Linked DNA regions of Arabidopsis thaliana. The protein of the gene in region 2 interacts with the protein of the main gene of each other region in a pairwise test. Each region holds a gene or a part of one and is shown on either strand. Other genes may lie near its edges. The genes, in order: OFP7, ASHH3 and AT1G77250.

Region 1 (3,788 bases), about 10 Mb from region 2:
TGGGTCGATAGTAATACGAGACGGTATACCAAGAGTGAAATCCATTATATATTTTTTATTTCACTGGAAGGGATTAGATTGTAGGATGGATTTGGATCAATAGTAATACGAGAAAAATCAAACATTGTATTTATACACTAAAAATATATATAGATATAAGAGTTGTACATTTAAAAAATACAAAACATTAAATCATATTTTATTAAACAAATTAAACTTTTATTTTTTTTTTAAAAATAGTCCTGCGGTATATCGCGGGTTAAAAAAAAATCGAATTTTACATAATACAGTTTATCATGCTTTTATTAGATACACTATACATTTTAACCGTAATCCTAACTAAAATTCTAAAAAAAATACATATTATAACCGTTAACTCAAATACATAATCTATTATTCAACTATACGAATTTTACTTAATATATAAATTTTATTTAGAAAAAATAAATCTGCGGTATACCGCGGGTCAAAATCTAGTTTTGTATACATAACTTTAACTTTAGTAACCAAAAAAGTGAAATTTTTGAAAAGCAATTATTGCGTGTGAATATGAACATCTTTTTTTGGGTTTGGTGTTGACGATTATGAATATATGCAATCTATGCATTAGAATCTAAATCGCACAAATACAATATTTTAATTAGCCTACGCATTTAATGATTACAGTTTTAATAATTGCACCGCCGCATAATTTACATTTAACATTTACATCGTCACTAAAAGTGAAAAAAATTTAGTAGAATTTAGTTAGACATTATCATAAACAGAGGATTTTAATTTTTAACATTATTATTTTAACACTCATCGTAGTCTGAGAGTCGAACACTCGAGAAGGAGGACGATCTCCGACCACCACCACTACCACCGGAGAACAAAGCAACCCAAATCTCTGAAAACGCTCTTACAATCGCGCGGTGGTGGCGTTTCGCGTTTAGCGATAGGAAGCAACTAAGAAGCTGTTCAAGCTCAGCTACTTCAAACATCTTCTTCTCTACTATCATCTCCATCATTGATCCTTTAAAATCTTCGTATGGATCCTCCGATTTCTTCACCACCGCCACTCCTTCCACCATAACCGCCGCCGCCATCGTACACGGCATTAATCTCTGCACAAACGAAGACAGTCTCGCCGGAGACGGTGGCGGTGATGATGATTCACTTTCTTCCTCGATCACCGCCTTCTTGAGAAGTTGTCTCGGACGTCTTGTGACACGCGGTAGCTCGGAAGAGGAATATTCCGGCGAGAGGTTTGTAGAAGATGGTAAGAGACTCTCTCTATCAGTCTCTTCTTCGGCGGAGGAAATGCTCCCTCGCCGCCGAGAGTTTGATTTCTCCTTCTTCTTTAAACGCCGGCGATTATCTTTCTCCGACCCACCGTTGTATATTTTCCGACGAGGCGTTTCGTATTCTTCTTCAGTGACTTGAGCAATCACGTGCCACTTCCCTTCACTTTCCCACTGAAACGTCGGCGTTTGCGGCGGAGATAACACCGGTGAGTTTCTCAGATCAACATCCAACGGCGTGGACGAGCGTCCGCAGCCAAACACAGTTAAAACGTGTAGTCTGAAAGAAGAACGGCGACGTTGCGGCACGGTGGTGACGTCGGCGGAGGAGTTAACCAGTGGAGAAGTACGTCGGAGACTTGAAGAAACAGGATTAAAAGGAAGAGAAGAAGGATCTTTTAAACGGCAAGATTTGAATGAGAGGATTCTTGAAATCTTTAATTTGAAACGTTTCGTCATTTTTTTTTCTTTTCTTGTTTTTTGTGTTTTGTTGGAGAAGTGAAGAAAGTATGGAGCATTTACCAAATGAGAACTGTTTGTGTCTCTTCTGCTTCTATATATATGCAAACACTTTTATATTGGAGTATATAAAATTGTATAATATTTCTCTGCTTTAGTATGCTTTATACCGACATTACATTTACTAATTATCTTTTTTTTGTTGACAGCTGCAATATAAGTTATTTATACGAATCCCTACTTTTTTTTGCCCATACTAAAACCTTACCTTAGTTAAATGATCAAATGAACCGTGAATGTCATTAGACGGGTCAGAATGTGTGTGATATGTATATACTTTGCGTTTTCAAAAGCAACCCAAATTAGTTAAGTGGACGTCTAAGGCTTGATTTGCAGAGATGTTGGCAATAGCAATGGTGAAGGAAAAGTTGCACATCATCGTTCTTCTGAAGTGGTGGTAGTCGAGAAAACGTATTTATATGTAGGATTTCATATATATACGTTTTCTCGATTACTTCTTCAGTAGAATGATGATACTGTATCGATCATAAACAAGATACCGAATTGTGATATAACCATTTTGACTTGAGAGTTTATTAAATATCGATCTTAGTTAATAGGAATAAGATAGTTTGTACCAAAAAAAAACTAAAGACATAACCATGTGTGGGCATATACAAGTCAAACACCTATGAAATTGAAAGGTTGAGAAATTAAACGGCTAAATTAAAATACAAAACAACAACATTCTGTCTAAATTGTTTTATATTTTTTACCACAAAATACATTTCTTTTTTAGAACTTTTTTTTTTGTCTTTATTCCTAAATACTTTCTTGCTTTCTATATATTTAGATCAATTTTTTTTGTTAATACATATTTTCAAAAATCGAAAAGATATTTTGGAAAAAAATTCACAATTTTGATTACATATCGTAGTATCGCACAGAATCATGTTTAGCCTAGTCTTGTAATAAATTACATGTAATTAAAATAATTTTTGTAACGTCATCACATGTATGATGTCAATGTTGATACCTATTTTTTTATACTGTATATACTTATGACTTAAATTGACAAGCTAATCCTAAGAAAATTATACAAACCCTAACCCCTAGGCATCAAAGATTGATGTAACTCGAGTTTGACCGATACAAAAGTTCTACTTAGCTCGAATTAGCTTGCATTTGGATCTAGCAACCAACAAGCATAATAAGACTAGTCCAAAAAGAACTCACAGTTCTTGTTAGCTTGCATTTGAAGCTAGCAACCAACAAGCAAAAGAGTAGTCCAAAATCTTGTAAGACATTTAGCAAAGTCCAGAATAGTCAACTTACCTTAAAAGAAAGAATATGCGATAATCCATTGTCTTATCAGGTTTTTGAAAGTAGTAACTATTTTCCTACCATCCCAATCACATGTATTGAGAAAATGTATACTCTTAGTCTTACTATAATATTTTAACTTAACTACTATCAAACAAATTTTTAAAGTTACCGCGCGAAAAACCTAATAATTTTAAAAAGGCATTTTACGTGAAGAACATATCACTTCGACAAACACTTGTCAGCTGAATTAACTAACATTTGTTAATATTGACTCGTAATTATACACTTCGTCAAAAGTTTACCTAAATTATTTGAGTTTTTTTTGTGTTGGGTATTAATTAGCACTGCTCTTTTATGAGATTGAAAGATACGGTTTCAAAACTTTCGGGATTTAAAAAAGCCAATTTTGCAATAATAAATTATATATTATATTTAAAAGAAGGTGAAAAGTTGTATGATAAGACAAAAAAGATCCATTTTTGAAGAATGAAGAAGCGAAGTAGGGAACGACCAAAGGATCCAAGGAGACAATATAATCTGATTCATGCCCCAAAGTCATCTTTCTCCATCTCTTTCCCATATATTTATATTTTTCAACTTTATTTATTTTCTTCCTTTTTGGAAAATTACAATATGATTACATTTCTACTTGTGTCGTTTAATCATTAAAAATATATAATGTAGATGCTCCTTTACTAGTTAAAGAGTCTAGAGTTAAAA
Region 2 (5,230 bases):
GCTCCTGGAATCTCCTAATTGCTCCACTAGCCATAGAGACTCTTTTTACAAATGCTGTCCAACCATTACGAGTGGTGCAAACTTGCTTATGCCCAGAAGTTGAAGACTCCCTATACGGTTGAGAAACTGAGGAAGAAGACGTAAACACGTTTGACCATAAGGTAAACTTGGACTTATTATCACTAGGTCCAGAATCTGAAACTAAAGGGGATTTATCATGCGTATCACTCTTGCTTGATGAAGAACATTGTTGAGGAACAAATCTATCACATAAAGCCTTCATTACCTAGACATGAAGCACCAACTGCAACGTGTCCTTCTCATAGAAGCAACCTAAATCCTGAGAACCTTATCTGAAATAATAAGCACAAAAGACACTGAATTAACATCCAACATACTTTTAAGTAGTATCAGAAAGCCAAGATTGACTAAAAACTTCCACAATTAACTTCAAACACTACACAAGATTGGGTGTGTGTGACTTCAAGGTTCAGAAAAGTTTAATCAATTAACTCTCTGAGACCATAACTATAGTTTTGTGACCACTGAAGTTCAGCTTAACACCCCAAAAACAAGTAAGCATGTAACACAATAACGATTCTACAATTACAAACACTAAGCAGATTTTGATGAGAAAATAAACCCAATCCATAGCTTCTTGACCTCTTGAAACATCACAACATAGAATTTTCCGCATGATATTAGGAAGGTTTAGGGAGTCAACAGAGAAATATAAACCAAAATTTTAGAGATCAAAGCATTTGGATTCCACATGCATATTCTCTTAATTGAAGAATGTTTCTAGCAAATGACAAAATCAAGAAACAGACTTGAGCTTGACGAAATTTCAACTCACGGATCTACAGTAATCGAAAATGATCAATTAATCAACTTAAATTTTGACAACTCCTCTTCGTGTAGCAGAATTTCATCATCCAATTTAGCCCAGGAATTCTCACAACTCCGAATTTTTCTAGCAGAGAGAAAACAATAGGAAAAGAAACAGAAGGATCACCTGAGAGATCGATCAAATGGTTTCAGCAGACGACGGAGATGGAAAACGCAAGGGGGAGATCGATTTCGTGTCGTATCTTGCTCGCTTCAACGTCCCGTCGAAGATACCTCAGAGCAAAGACAAACGTGTGTTTCCTTTGGAGGTTTTGGGACAATCTCAATGGCGATTCTTCTTTTTACCTTCTTCAAATCTTTCGCTTTCAACTAATGACAATCTATATCGTTTAATTATTAATTAAACTTCACATAATCAGGGTTATGAATTATGATTACACTTGTTTACCATTTTTTTACGTGGAAAAAAATAAATACTCTCCGATTTACCTGTTTACTTCGGATAAAACGTTCGAATATTATATTAACAATGACATTGATAGTATTTTACTTTACTTTTCTCCAGGTTCCTAATTTTTTTGTTAACACATCCATCAACATGTTAACAGTACACAAAATTAAAATGTTGCTGCTGCTTGCTATTAATGTGATTAGTGATTACGGCTAAAAGGCTATGACATATAAACGACATAAAGCAACAATATTAGTTTGGGTTAATTAAGCTCAGCTAATTTGGGCTAGTTAAAAAAATTGGATCGGATAAAAAAGCCCATATTGACACTGGGCCAACATATCATATCGAGTCAAGTTACGGTTTTACCCTGAAGCCATTTATTTCTGAAGCGTAATTATCAAAGAGAAAAAAAGATTAAAAAAAAAGCAACTGCCGCTCTTTCTTCTTTCTTACTGTCTCAGATCCGCCATTGTTACTTCTTCAGTTCTTCTTCTTCAACAACAACAAGAAGTAATAATTAGGGTTGAGAAACTTCGAATTCCGAAACAACAGAGAGACGTACTAGTTTTAGCCATCTTCTTTTCTTAGTTTCATCGAACTTGGTGTTACCTCAATAGGTCGACGCTCAAATCTTGCTTATTCTCTGGTTTTTAGAGCTTCTTTTAGATTCTTTCGACATGCCAGCCAGCAAAAAGGTCTGTTCAAAAACAATCTCCGCTTCATGGAAATTTTAACTTTATTCTTGATATCTGAAATTTCCAGATATTTTTCTCAGATTTCGGACCGGAATCACTTAGGGCAAGTGTTCGACAAGCTATTGAATCAGATTGGAGAATCTGAAGAATTCGAGTTACCGGAGTGGTTGAATAAAGGAAAACCTACTCCTTATATCTTCATCAGGCGCAGTATCCTTTTTTGCAATTGCAGTTTTGGTTTTGTTTCATTTTGCAGATTTAGCTTTGATCAAGATTTGTTTTGGCCTTGACTTGTTAAAGATATATACTTGACGAAGAAAGTCAAAAGGAGGGTTGAAGATGATGGAATCTTCTGTTCTTGCTCCTCCTCGTCTCCTGGTTCTTCTTCAACTGTCTGTGGGAGTAATTGCCATTGTGGGTATGCCTCTGTTTTTATTTCACTTTTCTTGATCTATCTATTTCAGCATTTCATTGATATAAGACCATAATTATCTGCTTGTTTAAGTACATTGAACTGGAAAAAACCTTATCTTTTGTGTTAGGATGCTATTCTCAAGCTGTTCCTCAAGTTGCAAGTGTGGGAGTGAGTGTAACAATAAGCCGTTCCAACAACGACATGTCAAGAAGATGAAGTTAATTCAGGTAATGTGTGATTGGTTTTGGTTGGATAGAGTGGATTTTTGTTGTTGTCGGTTTGTTATTTTAGTTGTGTCTTGTAGACAGAAAAATGCGGATCAGGGATTGTGGCAGAAGAAGAAATCGAAGCTGGAGAGTTTATCATTGAATATGTTGGAGAAGGTGATGTGACTATTTGATATTTTGTCTCCCTACTGAATATACTGCGACCATGGTCTAATTTGTTTTCTTTTTTCGTACCTTTGCTCAATGTAGTTATTGATGATAAGACTTGTGAAGAGAGGCTTTGGAAGATGAAACACCGTGGCGAGACAAACTTTTATTTATGTGAGATAACCAGAGATATGGTTATTGATGCTACTCATAAGGGAAACAAATCAAGATATATTAATCATAGCTGCAACCCTAATACGCAGATGCAGAAATGGTTTGTTGTTAACTGTCAACCCTTAGTGCTTGTTTCCTAGTTTAGAATACTTGAGAGAGAAAAGTCATCATTTGGTTTACTTTTGCTTGCAATTAGGATAATTGACGGCGAGACCAGAATCGGCATTTTCGCCACCCGTGGTATCAAAAAGGGAGAGCATTTGACCTATGATTATCAGTAAGTTTATATCCTCCTTCTCCAGTTTACTTTGTAACATATCTGTTTTTATGTTGAGTTGTGACACTAAGAAATAGAGCAGGTTTGTTCAGTTTGGTGCAGATCAAGACTGCCATTGTGGGGCTGTAGGTTGCAGAAGGAAGCTTGGTGTAAAACCTAGCAAACCTAAGATAGCCTCGGATGAAGCTTTTAATCTAGTGGCACATGAATTGGCCCAGACACTGCCCAAGGTATTTTCAAATTTTATCTGAAAAGAAGAATCAAATATATATCTCGTCTTTGCCCTGGCATAGTTTCACAGTCACTGAAAAATTTGTGTGATGAGGTCTAAGTGACTCTTTTTCTTTCCCCACTTTTGGTTAGGTGCATCAAAATGGACTTGTAAATAGACACATAGATGCAGGTAAGTTTGGATTTTTTCTGCTCAATTTGCGAGAGTAGCTTATTGTGTTTTGGTTGTAAGAAAGTAATTTGGATTCCCATGTTTCTCCAGGAAAATCATGGAACAATCTTAGTCAAAGGGATACATGTTCGCGTAATTGCATTGGTGTGGTGATCAGGTTATCTCGCCCCACGAGTGATAGGTATTTATTGAGTTTTGAACTCGTGGATTAGTTTTATGACTCATTCTATGCTTTTCTCATCCAATGTTTTATCTTTTGAGATTTTCAGGTGTTTTGGCCTCGTTAGACATTTTGATGAGTATTCAAGAAAGCACTCGGTATTACAATTAGCCAATACTTGTTCCTCACCATCGAACTTGGCAAAATCATTCTCAATTAAGACCTCTCTGTTAACATCTTTAAACTTGGTCCAGGTGATGTTCGAGGATGGTGTTACCGAGTTTGTCGACATGTCGAGAGAAGACTGGGAGATTGTCTAATATTGTTTTCAGGTGATTTATACTCTTCACTCTCTTAATGAAACATTAAAACTCCCAGAAGCATAGAGTATTAAATTACCCTGGCTGCTATGTTTCTGCAGATTGCTTTGAAGTTGAGAAACCAAAATAACCTGTCTTGGTAAACTAAAGGTATCCCAAAAAACCCGGGTCTGACTGACTGGGATTGGTGCAGTGACATTGTTTGTTGCGTCTAACTTGTGACCTGTGTTTGTACAACCATTATAAGAGATATCATATATCTACTTGTGTAACCACATCTGTACTTTCTTCTCCTTCCTTCTTTTTTCATGGGGATCTCAAATGATGATGTCTTGCAAGAACCTTCGTGGTGTGTAATTGACTTTGTAAGAACCGGTAATCTCATATCCGGTTTAGCTTTTAAAAATTTGTATCCAAAGACCGGTTTGTTCTTGTTTGCATGTGCTGTTCTTATTCGTGCATCTGTGTGAGTGTGACTGTGTCGGTGTCGCCGACAAAAGCCGGTGTTTGCAAAATCTGACCAGTTTTGTTTTAGCGATTAACGTTTCAAATTCCTTCAAATGCAAAATGAGTTAAACAAGTGAAAAATTACTAAAACAACATAACAGTTTTAAATTGGAAAAAGTTTTGTAAAGTTTAAAGATACACTGTAAGTGAAAAACGGAAAATTTTAATTAGATTTTTTTTTTTTTTTTTTTTTTTTGGTAAAAGTAGATTATTTTTGTTAAACAAAAGTGATGGATCATTGGTTTTTTGGTAGTAGGTGGGTGATGTGGGTGTGTGGTTCTGGTTCACCAACTCAAAAAGCATAGACTGCAGGGGTTGGGGATTGATAACGACAAATCTAATTGTGGTTGGTAAATCTTTTACTAATCACATTCCTTTAAAATAATTATGTAACTCATCTTGTTTACTAATATCAACTCGACTATCTTAATATCAAATAACTCGGATTCTTCATTTTTTTCACTTTAGAATGGTTTGGTAAATCTCTTGAATAATAAACACTTTAATAAAAATGTTTTTTTTTGTCAAGCATAAAAATGTAACTCATGTTGTCTAACTACATGGATTTTCGCACAAAACAATGATTAAATGTAAATTATGTA
Region 3 (5,772 bases), on a different chromosome or scaffold from region 2:
GAGAGGACATGAGTTTGAAGCGTGTGGGAGTAAAAGTTCCATAGTCGAATGTATTGATTTTTTCTTTTGTTATGTTTTCAACTTCTGATGGTGCATTGGTGAAATGAATTATATATTTTTCCCGATGTGCTTAGGTAGAACAGAAATCATTAACTTGAAATATTTTATTTTGAACTTAGGCTGCTTGGGTAATACATTTCTCTTTTTTTGGGCTCAACAACTAATTAGCTTAGGCTTCTTGGCTAATACTTTTTTCTTTTTTTGGGCTCAACGGTCATTTTTTTCAATTATCTAAGTATTGAACCATCTATTGAAGTGGATAATACCGATTATAGAAAAAGATTGATCGATTGTTTGCCCCCAAAACAAGAAAGATTGAGAGATTTATTTTGATTGATTTGAACATCTAATAGTAATAAGTGAAATCTTATGTTATTTAACTACTGTAAATATTTTAGTTAAAATCTTATCTTGTTCGATGAATTAATCACATGTTATATATACCCTTACGGTCTATGGTTGGTCGGCCTCGTAACAATAATACTCATTAAGCTTTTTTTTGTTGTTGTTTGAGTTTTTACTCGTAAGATATTGTAGAATAGATTAAATTTATAAGAAAATTATCCGATGAAGCATCATCTCTTTGGTCAAGAATCAGTTCATTATAATGTTAAACAAAGTGCAAAATCAGCAGATCAAAAGGGCACTGTTGATGAAAAGAATTTACTCTTAGAAGAAGGTTTACCCTTCAGAATCCTTTGTCTTGCTTTCAAAAGTTAGCAACCAAACGAAAACAAATTTGTGGAGAAGAATCAAATATTAAAGTGTTGAAAGTTAGGTAGATGAGACAAGAAGCTGTATTTTGCTTGTTTGCTTATCAATCCAATCCTTCATTTGATGGATTGGAATGTCATCTGTTCTTCATCTTTCAGTGTGTCAGCTGCGTTTAGAAGCATGTCCATTCCTCCTACGCTTTGATCCAATTCTCCATTGTCTTTACTTTGCGGTTTGCCTTGGAGATTCTTGGGTTTTATTCCTTTCTGTTTCTGCACCGTCTCCATCTTCTTCTCAAAAGCCTTTCGTGCTTTTTGGACTTTAAGAATTGCAGCTTTACATGCTGTGCAAAACCATTCTCCATTTGGAACCGATTCACATGGAGGTCGCATGCAATAGATGTGATATGCATCATCACACCCATCACACAAGACGATTTTATCATCATCCTTGTCAGTTAGGCAATTTCTGCATAAGCATGACGAGCAATACCAACGGACACCGTGTAGTTTTATTTGCCTTGAAGTCAAGCACCTGATGTGGTAATACTTGTGTGGGCAAAAAGGGTGATCACATGTTATATACTTTCCGCCACTATCCACCTTTGTTCCACAGGTCCTACAGAGTTCAGAATCTCTACTCATCTCTACGTGGTGCACCTCATGATTCATGTTACAGCTTGAATTCTCTTCAGATTCGTTCGAATCCTCTTTGCATTCTGTACTCGTATCAACAGATCTGTTATCTGTCTTCATCATCCCTTGGGTTTTCATTTTTTCACACACTACACAATTCTCATGAGGTGATCCGATTCCCTTAGATGTACAGTCTAGACAATACCAACTGTGTGTTGGCATCCCTTTCCCACCAGGTTGTGCACACGAGACATGGTACATATCTTCACAATGATCACATGCTAAACAGTCTCTTGCCTCTGCCTTCTCTCCACATAGCTTGCAAATGTCAGAAACACTGTCATTTCTGATGTTCTCTGCATTAGGACAAGGCTTCGATTCCCCAGTGTAGAACTGCTTCAACTTCCAGATTTTGAAATAAAGAAGATATTAGAGGATTGATGGATAAAGTTATAATAAGATAGCACCTTGAAGAAGATCATTTATGCCTGACCCTCACCTGTTCCTTATAGGAGGTTCTTGAAAGCTCTAAGAGACTATTAGCAAGAACAGCCATATCATTACCAACATCCTGCATTTTTTGCCAGACCTGAAATCAGTAGTTAGGTTTAGTTCTATGTCTACCTTCAATCTAATGCATAATATGTACTGAAAACACAACCACATTCGTCAAGCTAAGAGTTTGTGTTCAGCTTCCGAACTACGGCATCAGACTATATTTTTCACAATGAAAAGAATAAGAAAGACATGATAATCTGTTTTCATGCATATTTATCTTAGACTAAGCATGATTTCCACTAATTACCTCTTGGAGATCCGTTGAAAAGAGCAGAGGTGAACCTTCATAAACACCCTCTTTCATCCTGGTGTCTATCAGAGTTCTGCTCGTAAAATCATCAATCTTGACCCCTTGAAGATTTTCGGAAAGTAACCTATTTAGGGATGCAAACTCCTTTGAAGCTAAAACATGGGACAGAACATGCTGGCAACCGGCTGTCACCGTCTCATGATTGGTGGATTCACTTGATGGTTTATTTGGACTGGGAGGCTTCGGGAGTTCACCAGTAAGATGGGTTCTTATGCTAAACCTTTCATAAGAGACAGACTCCTGTGAAGAAATTTAATGAAAAAATTAATCCAAAACAAGAAAGAGCTAACATGTTTTAGGAGCATATTCATGAAAGTAAATCATGAACACATGAGTTGATCACACAAATATAACCTGAGACGAAGTTCAGGAATGAATGCATGATTTAGCAAACTCTAGTCAGGTTTTCAATAAGCACAGTATTAACAGCACATATGGATTTTACTACTATTTGCAAAGCGTTTCCTGAAACATAGCTATCACACACTAGACACCAATGTAGCCTGAACAAAATGAAGGGAACAGATATATAATCGCAAAATTGTTACTTGAATAGCCATACGAATATAAGCAGAAATGACCCTTCTCTTTAGCTCCCTCAGCAACATGCTGAGTAATTGAGGCCCAATATTCACTATTGAAGCAACTACCCAACCATCACTAGATTTATAGAGATCCTAATATACATTACTTAGCCAAGGCTCTAAAATAAACCAATAAACTAAATTCACAAAACATATAACAACTGAGGTGAGCGAAAGTTGCAAAATGCTAGCAACTACATATACTCCAGCATTTTAAAACCAATCACAACAAGAGGTGGTACCATAATAGAAAAAGGCATGAAAAGTACCCGGCTTTCTGAGTGACTAACACCTTCCATGGAAAATCTATCATTTTCCGAACATTTATTAGCAGAATAAGATCTCCCAAGTTTTCTCCGCTTATATGTTTGTATCTTCTTACTATCTCTGGAACTAGCATTTGCAGAATTAGCCATAGCACCACATCCTGCACTCCAATTATTCAATGCTTCACTTTCCACCAAACCATTTGGCTGATTATGCTCTGTACCTTTACCATTACTTGTCGCCTCCTCCATGAACATCTTAAACAAATGTTTTGATCCTCACACAGTGGAGCTAGGGTTTCACCAATCTTCCATCCTACAATAGACAAAACAGAAACTTGAGTCCTTATATAACCCACAAACGAAATCTCATATGGAAATGTTGACCATTGGTAACAAACTATCAAAATGTCTTCGATTTTATCACCAAATAAACCATCTAGAAATTAGAAAAAACAATATCATTCCAACAAAAAGCGATGAAATTGAAGACTTCTCTACCATAATTTCATCAGAAAACAACGAATTTCTAGATACGGAAACTTCAATGGAGCTTTATCTAGACACTACAAAAGACGGAACAAAGCTAAATCCAAATTCAAACCTCTAGCGAAAAAACCGACAAGAGGGAAAAAGAGAGTAAAACCGTACCAGTGTGAAGAAATCTGCGTAAAGAACCGACGAAGAGCAAACCCTAGAAATTTGAGGAAGAGGATTGATTTACCGGCTCTCGGAGATTAAGACTCGCCGGTGGTTCTGTAAATCCCGGCCTTTCTTATCTTTGAATCATTTTTAAACTTCCGCGTCCCTTAACCGGTATATTTTTCAACTTGGATCTGAAACCGGTCAAAACCGGTAATCAGTGACGCGAAACTGACACGTGGAAGTAGTAATAAAAACCGCGCCGGAGACTCACGGTGACGGAGTCCACCACAGTAACAGATTCGTGATGTGCACGTGCTTTTAGTTATTCCCTGATCAAAGAGTCACAACCGTCGGATCTCAACTTTAGCAATCCAACGGTTATAACTGAAAGACACCCACCATTCTCTGTTTCTTTATTTCACACTTCTCTCTGTTTTTTTTTGTCTGAGAAAATGAATCTTTTTGTTACTCATGTGTTAAAGTAGCTCAAGTGTATTAACACTCTTCATTCTTCAACAATCAAATCAACAAACAAATAAACAATAATACAATTATCAATTTATCACTAAGAAGAACTGTCGCTTTGAGCAGACTTATCATCACATTCGATTTCGTATCTTTTCTTTTTCTTTTCCTCATATCCGTTTATCGCAGATGAGAATCCTAACGCTTGCGTGGGGTCCTTCCCCGGTATCATGAACACCAGCAGTCCAACCGATGGCTTTAGCCACTTGCTGAAGTTGGTCCATCAAAGACAGTGAATCCCTTATGTAAACATGTCCTCCTGGTCTCAACATCCGGTCCATCTCCAGCATAATGTTTGTTATGTTGCACCTATGTTCCACAATTCATTACCCCAATCAAGTTCCTGACCTTTATTTTTGGATTCAGGATAAAAAGAAAAACGAAGTTTAAATCTTTTTACCTCTTTTTCTCAACAGAGAAGAGAAATGCAGCATGTATCAGATCATAGGTTCTTGGGTAGGTGTCAAATGGCTCACACCTAGAGGAAGTAAGTGAAAAAAGCTTTAAATGTGATCTTGTGTAAGTTAAAGTTATGTGGGATTAGAAGCAAAAGAGCAGAAGGTTATCAGTCTGTACCAGTCGTGCATAGCCCCTTGTAGTCCACGGTCATAAATAACTGGCAAGGTGTTGAATCCGCTAACGGGAACAATGTTCATAACCCAACAGTCAAGCCCCAGATCGTTTAATGCTGCTGCAAACCTACCAAAATCAAGAAATACTAGATCAAATAAACTTTGGTAAGGCAGAAACAAAAAAAGGGTGTGATTGATGGTTACCCTCCAAAACCAGCTCTCATGTCCAGAACATTCCTCAGTTTGAACTCCTTCCAGCGGAAAACCCGCACATAACTCTCTACTACTTCTAACCAAAATCTAGACTCTGCCTTCATAATTTCCTTTCGGGATATGTACGCATCCATTTGAATGCTTTGTAGCCTCTCTGGCGGATCATGAAGACGTGCAGGCCATGTGGAGACATTAGCCCCATAGCCATTATCAGGTAATCGGGTGATGCACGGTTTCATATCTACATACCTGGAACAGGAAACCATAACCACAAAGTTGAGATTTTTAGAAAGTTTTAATTGAAAAGCTGAGAATTTGGTGGTTCTATCATATAATGTCTATGCAAGAAGGCTCAAAACTATTAAAAAGAAACTAGATTTTCAGATGCATATATGTACCAAACATCATCAGGATCATCATCAGGTCTGCACAAAGGAGGTTTTGTTCCAGCTTCGCGACTGACATAGCAGCTGTTGTTTAGAGGCTTCCTCCACACAGCAATATATCCCTCTTTCTTGATAAGCTCCCAACAGATTCGATTCGTAAGGTCTAACATTTCTGAAAAAGATAATCAAAGCGCAGAAGCAACACCCATATTTTAGTTAAACTCCATAGCAGACAAATTATTTTGTTGAATAATATACAAACCTTTCCACTGCTCTTGCAAGTTATCCTCATGTTTGTAAACGG

What was found.
Region 1: the proteins of ASHH3 (region 2) and OFP7 interact in a two-hybrid assay, tested with the Arabidopsis thaliana proteins (one large-scale study listed by BioGRID).
Region 3: the proteins of ASHH3 (region 2) and AT1G77250 interact in a two-hybrid assay, tested with the Arabidopsis thaliana proteins (one large-scale study listed by BioGRID).

Annotation. Positions count from the first base shown.
Region 1 is NC_003071.7:8,025,056-8,028,843, reverse strand, and holds OFP7 (ovate family protein 7), read right to left. Parts: upstream 1,888-3,788; 5' UTR 1,743-1,887; coding exon 795-1,742; 3' UTR 571-794; downstream 1-570. UniProt on the Arabidopsis thaliana protein: Transcriptional repressor that regulates multiple aspects of plant growth and development through the regulation of BEL1-LIKE (BLH) and KNOX TALE (KNAT) homeodomain transcription factors.
Region 2 is NC_003071.7:18,256,883-18,262,112, forward strand, and holds ASHH3 (histone-lysine N-methyltransferase ASHH3), read left to right. Parts: upstream 1-1,686; 5' UTR 1,687-1,980; coding exon 1,981-1,998; intron 1,999-2,078; coding exon 2,079-2,208; intron 2,209-2,298; coding exon 2,299-2,416; intron 2,417-2,540; coding exon 2,541-2,640; intron 2,641-2,717; coding exon 2,718-2,796; intron 2,797-2,889; coding exon 2,890-3,061; intron 3,062-3,157; coding exon 3,158-3,238; intron 3,239-3,320; coding exon 3,321-3,468; intron 3,469-3,601; coding exon 3,602-3,641; intron 3,642-3,731; coding exon 3,732-3,822; intron 3,823-3,910; coding exon 3,911-3,959; intron 3,960-4,055; coding exon 4,056-4,121; 3' UTR 4,122-4,133; intron 4,134-4,222; 3' UTR 4,223-4,660; downstream 4,661-5,230. Other genes in the region: AT2G44140 (Peptidase family C54 protein), read right to left, coding at 1-283. UniProt on the Arabidopsis thaliana protein: Histone methyltransferase.
Region 3 is NC_003070.9:29,019,554-29,025,325, forward strand, and holds AT1G77250 (RING/FYVE/PHD-type zinc finger family protein), read right to left. Parts: upstream 3,922-5,772; 5' UTR 3,779-3,921; intron 3,444-3,778; 5' UTR 3,386-3,443; coding exon 3,131-3,385; intron 2,518-3,130; coding exon 2,215-2,517; intron 1,999-2,214; coding exon 1,909-1,998; intron 1,812-1,908; coding exon 891-1,811; 3' UTR 623-890; downstream 1-622. Other genes in the region: AAE2 (AMP-dependent synthetase and ligase family protein), read right to left, coding at 1-42; AT1G77260 (S-adenosyl-L-methionine-dependent methyltransferases superfamily protein), read right to left, coding at 4,408-4,606, 4,698-4,775, 4,874-4,996, 5,074-5,331, 5,481-5,640, 5,731-5,772.